Callithrix jacchus: one gene and its partner. The protein of the gene in region 1 interacts with the protein of each later gene in a biochemical or structural test. Links are inferred from orthologs where the notes say so. Each region holds a gene or a part of one and is shown in the gene's direction. Other genes may lie near its edges.

Region 1 (4,489 bases):
GTGTGTGTGTATACACAAATGTGCGCTTATCCTCAGGCAGGAAGGGTGGGTGGAGTCATTTACACATGATCTGTTTTTCTGGAGGCCAGTTTTATTTGAGAAATAATTATTACTATGTGAATAGAATAAACAAGGCTCTATGACAAAGTAAAACACTAAGTACAGATGCATTTAAACATGTGTAATTATTTTTTTGGAGTGGGCTATACAAGGATGTGTTTTTAACAATGTAAACAGTGTAAAACGACATGCAGTGAAAAAGAAATCTTCCTCTTATTTTGTCCTCCATTCTCCCAATTCCTCTACTCAGAGGTGAGAGCAGAACTTCCACACCCTCCAGAACCTCCACAGTTTACTGTCTACATGTTTCCATTGTCTTTACTTTTATTCTTGCCCACACAAATAAATGAACTGTTCATTATTAAAACTTCCCAGCCAGGCACAGTGGCTCACGCCTGCAATCCCAGCATTTTGGGAGGCCCAGGCAGGCGGATGACCTGAGGTTGGGAGTTCGAGACCAGCCTGACCAACATGGAGAAACCCCGTTTCTACTAACAATACAAAATGATCTGGGGACGGTGTCATGCACCTGTAATCCCAGCTACTCAAGAGGCTGAGGCAGGAGAACTGCTTAAACCCGGGAGAAGGAGGTTTCAGAGAGCCGAGATGGAGATCATGCCATTGCCCTCTGGCCTGGGCAACAAGAGCAAAACTCCACATCTCAAAACAAAACAAAACGAAAAAACAAAAACCACTTCCCAAAAGACCCAATAATACTTCAACAGGAAGCACCAACAGTTTATGCTCTAGGACTTTGTTCCCACAGTCCTGTAACATCGTACCATGACACTTAATCCAATTCTTATCAAGCCCTTACTGTCAAAAACTGTCTTTAAACGAAACTGCATATTTTCAGTAGAATCTGGCCTCGCGTTTCCTCCTTTGATAGCACCATCAGAAGGCCCTTACTGTGGAAAGCAATAAGCCCGGCTTTGTTCCATCCACTGGTTGTGTTGGTGATATCTGGGGACTGCCGCTGGACAGAGGCACAGAGGCAGCCCCTCTGGCCAGGGGTTTTCGTGTCTGTTTCTGGGAGAGTATGTCTCGTACATTTGTCGCGCTGATGAAGATTTCACAGCTCCATCAGCGCAGACAAGGGGGTCTGAAGCACTCTTAGGCAAGTTGGGGCCCAGCGGGGAGAGGTTGGAGAAGAACTGATTAGGGGACCCCAGGAGGCTTCAGAGCTAGGCGAGGGAGAGAGTCTCCCGTGGCCCTCTCTCCTCTCTGCAATTTGGGGACCCCTTGCACTGAGGCGGGCTCCGGGCCAGATGCAAGGGAGGAAGAACCGAGAATTCACGAGCCTCTCGATTCCTCAGTCCAGACTTTGTTGAGTCCTCTCCGCTGGAGACCGTGCTGCCTCCAGATCTTTGTGAGCGTTTCGGAAGCACGCGGGGTCCCCCAGGTCACTGCACGCTTCAGGGCGGGTGAGGGCTGGGAGGAGGACGAAAGCGGGCGGGGCGGGGCCAGGGCAGGCCCTGATATAGAGCAGGCGCCGCGAGCCGCGTAACAGCGCGGAGACCGCAGTCCCCGAGCCCGGCCCAGGGCCCACCTGTCCCCGCAGCACCGGCCCTCACCCTCCCGCCGCATCCACCGGTGAGTGCCGCGATCGCGAGAGCCCCGGGCCGGATGCGCGGCAGCCCCAGCTCCGGAGCCTGGCGGCTACATCGAGTCACCGCGCTCGGTCCTGGGCGTCTTCTGCGGGTGCGGGTCCTGGCTGCCCGGGAGCCCGGAGCCCAGAGGGAAGAGAGCCAGCCGGGGCTGGGGAGCCTGGTCACCGCGGGCACCTCCCCTGCATTGCAGTCGCCCGCCCGGCCAGCCTTCCTGCTCCTCCGCCTCTTGTCCTGACTTCTCCTTCCCTTGCAGAGCCGCCTTCTAGCGCCCCGATCTTGCCACCATGAGAACCCTGCTGGTGCGCCTGCTCCTCTGTGTCCTGATCGTGAGCGACTCCAAAGTGAGTGCTCCCTTCCTTTGACTGATGCTGCCTGGGGACATCTGATCAGCACGAGGGGAGAGGAGCTGGGGTCCTCCGGATTCCATCCACAGCAGGGCCAGGCTTTCCCCAGGAAATGGGACAGGGTGGCGGCGGAGGCTTGAGTACCACGGGGGTTCGCACTGGCAGGAAAGGGAGGAAGAGGCCGCTAGGACTGCCCCAGCCCGCAGGCACCTGGTAGATGAAGCTTAGTTGGTTCAATCCATTTTTCCTTGCTGGAAACCCATGATCTTCCATTTGAGAACTAGATATGAACAGGGTGAGGCGAGAGGGAGAGGGAAGGAAGAGTGGGTTTTGGGATTGGGGCTAGTTTATCCTCACCCTGGAGTCCCGGGAGTCCCGGGAGCATGGGACCTTTGGTGAAGCCTCCTCCCCAATCTCTTTCAGGGCCGCCGTGAACATCAAGTTCCATGTGAGTATCCACCCCTACAACAGATGGCTGCACAGACATCTTGGGAAAGCTTCGGGGGCATCCCCTCCCTGCCCCTGCTGCAAGGCTACCCCCACCCTTACCACCTCCACTCCCCCTCACTTACCCCACCTTCGTTCTCTCCAGCGAACTGTGACTGTCTAAACGGAGGAACATGTGTGTCCAGCAAGTACTTCTCTAACACTCGCTGGTGCAACTGCCCAAAGAAATTCGGAGGGCTGCACTGTGAGATAGGTATGGGGATCTCCACTGCAACTGGGAGGGAGGGGGTGCCAGAAATTTAGGGACATGGAGGAGTGGGTGGGAGGCAAGAGCAGGCAGGAGTTAGGAGCTGGAGATGGGGTGGATGACATCTTCATCTCTATGTGACAAGCATAAACACATATACTCATGAAGTAGTGGCTGCTCAAATGTAAGGTGGTGATGGAAGGAGACCCTGTCCAGGCTTTTGGCAGGTCTGAAACCACATCATCTTTAAAATGTCCATTGGCGGCTGGGCATGGTGGCTTATGCCTGTAATTCCAGCACTTTGGGAGACCAAGCTGGGTGGATCATTTGAGGTTAGGAGTTCAAGACCGGCCTGGTCAACATGGTGAAACCCTGTCTCTACTAAAAATGCAAAAATTAGCTGAGCGTAGTGAGAGACGCCTATAGTCCCAGCTACTTGGGAGGCTGAGGCAGGAGAATTGCTTGAATCCAGGAGGCAGAGGTTGCAGTGAGCCGAGATCGCGCCACTGCATTCCAGCCTGGGCGACAGAGCAAGACTCCATCTCAAAAAAGAGAAAAAAAGGAAAAAAAAAAATTGGAACTTCCTTCTCTTTTTCCATATTCTCTCATTTTCACTCATTCTCACATTCTCTTGTAGATAACTCAAAAACCTGCTATGAGGGGAATGGTCACTTTTACCGAGGAAAGGCCAAAACCGACATCATGGGCCGGTCCTGCCTGTCCTGGAACTCTGCTGCTGTTCTTCAGCAAACATACCATGCCCACAGATCTGATGCTCTTCAGCTGGGCCTGGGGAAACACAATTACTGCAGGTGAGGTGGGGGCCAGGAGGACCAAGAGCCCTCCCCACAGCTTCCCAGAAACCCTTGTTACCATCCCCTTCTCCCAGATAGCCAGCTGTAGCGAAAGAAGTGCAGCCTCTGGTTGAGTCTTCCCTGAGGGGAGGAGGCAGGGAAGGTCCTCTGGGTTGGAATGACATCCCCTTTCTCTCTGTGTTGCCAGGAACCCGGACAACCGGAGGCGACCCTGGTGCTACGTGCAGGTCGGCCTAAAGCAGCTTGTCCAAGAGTGCACGGTGCACAACTGCGCAGATGGTGAGTGTCACTACCTGCTGATGACAGTGGGGTGGAAGGGGACAAACTCACATGTCCCCTTATTCCATCACAGAAGGGCGAAGGAGGGGGTGCTGCCTGAGAGGGATGCCTACTCCTACCTGCCTCCCCAAGACATCCCTCTGTTTGTCCTCTAGGAAAAAAGCCCTCCTCTCCTCCAGCAGAATTAGAGTTTCAGTGTGGCCAGAAGCCTCTGACTCCCCGCTTTAAGATTATTGGCGGAGAATACACCACCATCGAGAACCAGCCCTGGTTTGCGGCCATCTACAGGCAGCACCGGGGGGGCTCTGTCACCTATCTGTGCGGAGGCAGCCTCATCAGCCCTTGCTGGGTGGTCAGCGCCACACACTGCTTCATGTATGGCTCTGGGTCTCCCCTCTCTGACTCTTCTGCCCCACCCCAAGCACAACCCTTTCTCCTTCCCAGCAAGGGGATCCCCCTCAATTCTCTCTCATCAGCCCCTTACCATGCAGCCCTTGACCTTGGGGACAAGTCTTGCTTTGAGGCCTCTAGGGAGGGAAGGAAGAAGCAGCAGGATTTCATGGGATGAGACTGTCTGACGATTTCTTCTCCCACAGTAATCACGCAGTGAAGGAGGACTTCATCGTCTACCTGGGTCGCTCAAGGCTTAACTCCAACACTCCAGGGGAGATGCGGTTTGATGTGGAA
Region 2 (4,241 bases), on another chromosome or scaffold:
TGATTGCACCTGCCCCTGGATACCCAGGAGTGATCCCGCCTTCCTCTGGATACCCAGCAGTGGTCACGCCTGGCTCTCGACACCCAGTCGCAACTGTGTTTTCCTCTAGATACCCGGTAGTGACTGTGCTTTCTTCTAGAGAGGTCGTAGCAGTTGGACTTGGCTCTAGATACCATGTGTTCCTCACTAGATGGGGCCGAGATCAGTGTCTCCCTGGAAGGATTGTTGTAACGATGAAAAGAGATAATGTGTGTAAAGCACTTGGCATAATGTGTGGTCTTTGTTTAAAGTTTGAATAGGTACTAGTTCTTATTATTTCTGTGGATATCTGACAGCCCTGTAATTGGGCCCCAAAACCATGAAGAAGGAGGAAGAAATGTCTTAAAGGTTATCAACAGACTGTGTTTTCTGAACATCAAGATCACTTTCTGGGTATTATCTCTGACTTGCTCTATCAACTCCACACCCCACCTGCAGTCACAAAACCTTCCATGATCATGACCATACACAACATACTGTGTCCCCCAGGCATGGGGACCTTGGAAACGTGACCAGGCTTCAGCCAGCATCCTGCACCGGTGTCTTGGAAATGCTCTTAAGAGTATGTGGCTGAGTTAGGGATCCTGATTTCAAAGTAGAAAGGGAGAATCCATCCAAGCCCAGAGAAATCCTGAATGCAGCTCCTTTCTAAGCAAAAAGCACTGGCCGTGGAGTCATCACCAACCCCACTCTGCCCCTAATTAGAGGCATGACTGAAAATTCCCTTCATTCTTCTGAGCCCCAATTCAGGGGTTGGTGCAGTCACAGGCTTGGCTACAGTGACCCGTCATCGCTGGTATGGTGAGACTCTCAATCCCTCCCATTTCCACTAAAACTGACTGCTGGGATCTATGACCCAGTCAGCATAGCGGGCCTGTGGGGAGCTCTCGTGCTCAAGTGCATGCTCCCCCTGATCTACAGGAAATTAGCTGCAGAAAACCAAGGAATCGAACCTTGAAAGAGAGAGGGTTAGCTAGTGCTGTCCCTTTCCCTGTCTCTAGAATACCAATAATGGGAACCCTCTTTGATCTTGTCTCTCAGGATTGCCCATGTCATTCCAGGCAAATGGTGGCCTGGCTGGCAGCACAAGGCTTGGGGAGCAGCTAGTGGGCATTGCGGTCAAAGCCTCTGGATCAGACAGCTGTGTCTGCAGGCAGGCCTGCTGGCTGGAAACCTGGCAGGAAAGGAGAGGCTGGCAGGGGCGGGGCCAGGGAGGGGTGGAGACTGGGCCGGCTGTGGTCAGTGACAAATGCTGGCTGCAGTCCAGCCAGCCCTCTGCCCTTTCCTGAGCCTGAGGGACTGCCACCTCCACTCTGTGCACGCTCAGCCGCAGGATACAGTAAGTACAGATACCACAACGGGAGGTCCCGTGGGCTTGAGGGCATGTGAGGCCAGGAGAGGATGGACTCTAGAGTTACGGGGTTTGGAGGCTGCAAAGCTCTAGAGGAGTCTCACCTTTGCAGTGTCGGGTAATAAGCAGGGGCTCCCAAGGCAGCAGAGGTGAGTGCATCCCCCAAGCTCTGTGACTTTATGCTCCACACTAACTCTGGCAGAACTTCCGTTTCCTCATAGTAAGATGGAAATAATTATACCCTCCGCATGGTGGGACTGAAGGTTAAATACAGCGGGTGCTCTCACTCAGCGTATCTGGCTATGTCTGCAGACAGGTTTGGTTGCCCCAACTGGAGGGAGGGCCTGGGTTAGTGACATCTAGAGGCCAGCGATGCTGCTTGTGATCCCACAATGCCCAGGACAAGATCACAAGCAGCATCCTGTTCAAAAGGTCAGCAGGCTCAAAGTTGAGAGACCTTTTGACCTGTTGAACAAGACCTGTTTTGAAAGGCCCTGTTGACCTTTTGAATAAGACCGTGGGGACAAAATGCTGGCTGGACAGGAGGCGCTCAGTAAATGGCAGCTTCCGTTGTTTTCTGTGCGGGGGGTCTTGGGCCTTAAGAAATCAAGAACAACCATCCAGTATTATCTGCTTCCCTGAGATAAGGACATCTTGCCTGGAGGCTGCCACCCAGGCCGGTCAAGGCAGCTGCTCAAGAGAGCCAGGAACCACTTGGCAGTTTGTTAAATGAACAAAATGTAGAAATAAAGTAAGCAGAATGTTTAGTTTTTCTGAGAGTAGGGCTTTGGGCCAGATAGACAATATTGTAAGGGGAAACCCCTCCCTTGGGACAGTGTCCTCACTCCTAGATCAGGAAACTGAAGTGTGAAGAATGCAGGCTGCAGATGCCTGGAGATGACGGACATGTTCATGGTGTTGACAGTGGTGATAAGTAACAGATGTGGACTCACCTCCAAACTTGTCAAGTTGTAGACATTCAATATGTGCAACTTTTTAAAGAGCAGTCATGTCTCCATCAAGTGGTTTTAATAAAGAAATAAAATGAAGCCAGAGCTGGCAGGGAGGGAGTTTTTCAAGGTCACCTGGCAAGCGAGCCCTGGGGTGGGGAGAGCTCAGCTCTGGGTGGCCAGCCTGGCTTTTTCCACTACTCGGTGTCCAGCTTGCAGTGCAATGTCGCTGAATCACAGAGAAGGAGACAGGGGTCAGTTCATTCATTCATTCATTCATTCTACAAAGGTGTATGGAGCATCTCTCATGACTGCAAACTCTTGAAGGTGAGAGCAGCACAGACGAGGGTCCCATGGAGAGAGAGGCCGGAATGAAAAATGTCAATGACAAATGCATATATAAGGGGACATGTGTAATTGAAGGAGCTTAGAGAGAAACAGTCAAGGGACTGATCCAGAGAATAGCTGTGGAAGGGGAAAAGGTCCGGCATGATGGGGTGTTGCAAAGAAGTGGCATTTAAGCAGAGGCCTGCAGCTGATGCGGAAGCTGGCCATGGTGAGAAAGCACGGGGGAGGATTCCAGTAGAGAGGGAAGGTGTCCAAAGGCCCAGGGATAAGACAGAACTTGCTGCATTTGAGAGACTGGGAAAAGAAGAGTGAGCCTGGGGGTACCACATGACCCAGGTCAAGGCTAGGTGGAGCCAGTTCACAGGAGCGCTTGTGGGTTAGAGCACAAATCAAAGTTAGCATCGACCTGAAACACAGGAGTTGGCCCTGAGTTTCTTAGGTGAGGAAGCGCTGAGACCATGTTTATGATTGAAGGAGATTCTTTTATATGCTGCATATAGAATGCCTTGTAGGGCAAAGAAAGGAAGCTACTGGGGTGTCTCAAGGGAAGATGGTGGGAGCTTCCATCAGGGGGCAGTGAGAAAGCCAGAGACAGGCAGCAGCTTTAAGGCCTGTTTTGGAGATAGAACTGACAAGCTTTGCTGATAGGCTGCAGTGGAACCAGAAGGCAAGATGACTTCTCCCGGGAAGTTCTGCTTCTGGGTCTAGAGGAAGCCATGATGTCGTCTCTCATCTCTGCTTGGGATCCAAGCCTCACATCCCTTTTCGTAATGAGCAGATACTGGACAGACCCTCCTCAATAACACACTTCCCACAGCTAAGTGCAACATGTGCCTGGGCAGGACTTCATTGCCCAACACAGGAAACATGAGCCAGCAGATTTTAGCTTCGTGGGTGGTGCAGTGGGGGGGCCAGGGGAAGGACTGACCAAGGCCTACCCACCACATCCCCACCACCTGTCAACTCAACTCACCTTGGCCTGGGATGACAGATGAACTCGACTGATCCCCTCTCTTCCCTCTGCACCAACACTAAAGCCAGGAACCCAGGAGAGGGGTAGCCTGACTAGGCTCTCAAGGCACTCGGTTGAGGCTGGTCTGGGGAATGGGAGGCTCCCAGGGCTTCACCTGTCTGTTAAAGCCATATATTTCCACCAGATGCCCAGGAGTGTGATGGCAAACCTGGCTTCAAAACTAAGAAATGTAAAACAAGCAGTAGGGGCTCCGCCGCCTCTTGGAGGGAACTCTCTGACCCTCTGTTTCTTCTTCTGCATGGTTAGGATAGTAAAACCGACTCCATGTTGCTGTGGAGAAGTACAAAGGAGCTAATACAGGTGAACTGCCTGGGGATACCAGGAGGGGGGGTCAAGGGGTATCACTCCTCAGAGCCTCTCAGAGACAGGCTGTGCGTGAGTCAGAGGAACCTGGATTTTAAGTCTGGTTCCATCACTCAATCGCTGAAACAAGCTATTCCATTTTGCTTAGCCACAGTCTATTCAATCTGTAAATAGAGTGAGTAACGCTTATTTTTGGTGAAGGTTAAATGTAGTAATA

The links.
Region 2: the proteins of PLAU (region 1) and plasma serine protease inhibitor form a complex in vitro, tested with the Homo sapiens proteins (2 studies listed by BioGRID). The link is inferred for Callithrix jacchus from reciprocal best matches to the Homo sapiens genes PLAU and SERPINA5.

Annotation. Positions count from the first base shown.
Region 1 is NC_133513.1:56,295,478-56,299,966, reverse strand, and holds the start of PLAU (urokinase-type plasminogen activator), read left to right. Parts: upstream 1-1,565; 5' UTR 1,566-1,653; intron 1,654-1,923; 5' UTR 1,924-1,954; coding exon 1,955-2,011; intron 2,012-2,437; coding exon 2,438-2,462; intron 2,463-2,606; coding exon 2,607-2,714; intron 2,715-3,345; coding exon 3,346-3,520; intron 3,521-3,710; coding exon 3,711-3,802; intron 3,803-3,957; coding exon 3,958-4,177; intron 4,178-4,398; coding exon 4,399-4,489. UniProt on the Homo sapiens protein: Specifically cleaves the zymogen plasminogen to form the active enzyme plasmin.
Region 2 is NC_133509.1:129,406,090-129,410,330, forward strand, and holds the start of plasma serine protease inhibitor, read left to right. Parts: upstream 1-1,316; 5' UTR 1,317-1,539; exon of another isoform or gene 1,540-1,723; intron 1,724-4,241. UniProt on the Homo sapiens protein: Heparin-dependent serine protease inhibitor acting in body fluids and secretions. Inactivates serine proteases by binding irreversibly to their serine activation site. Involved in the regulation of intravascular and extravascular proteolytic activities.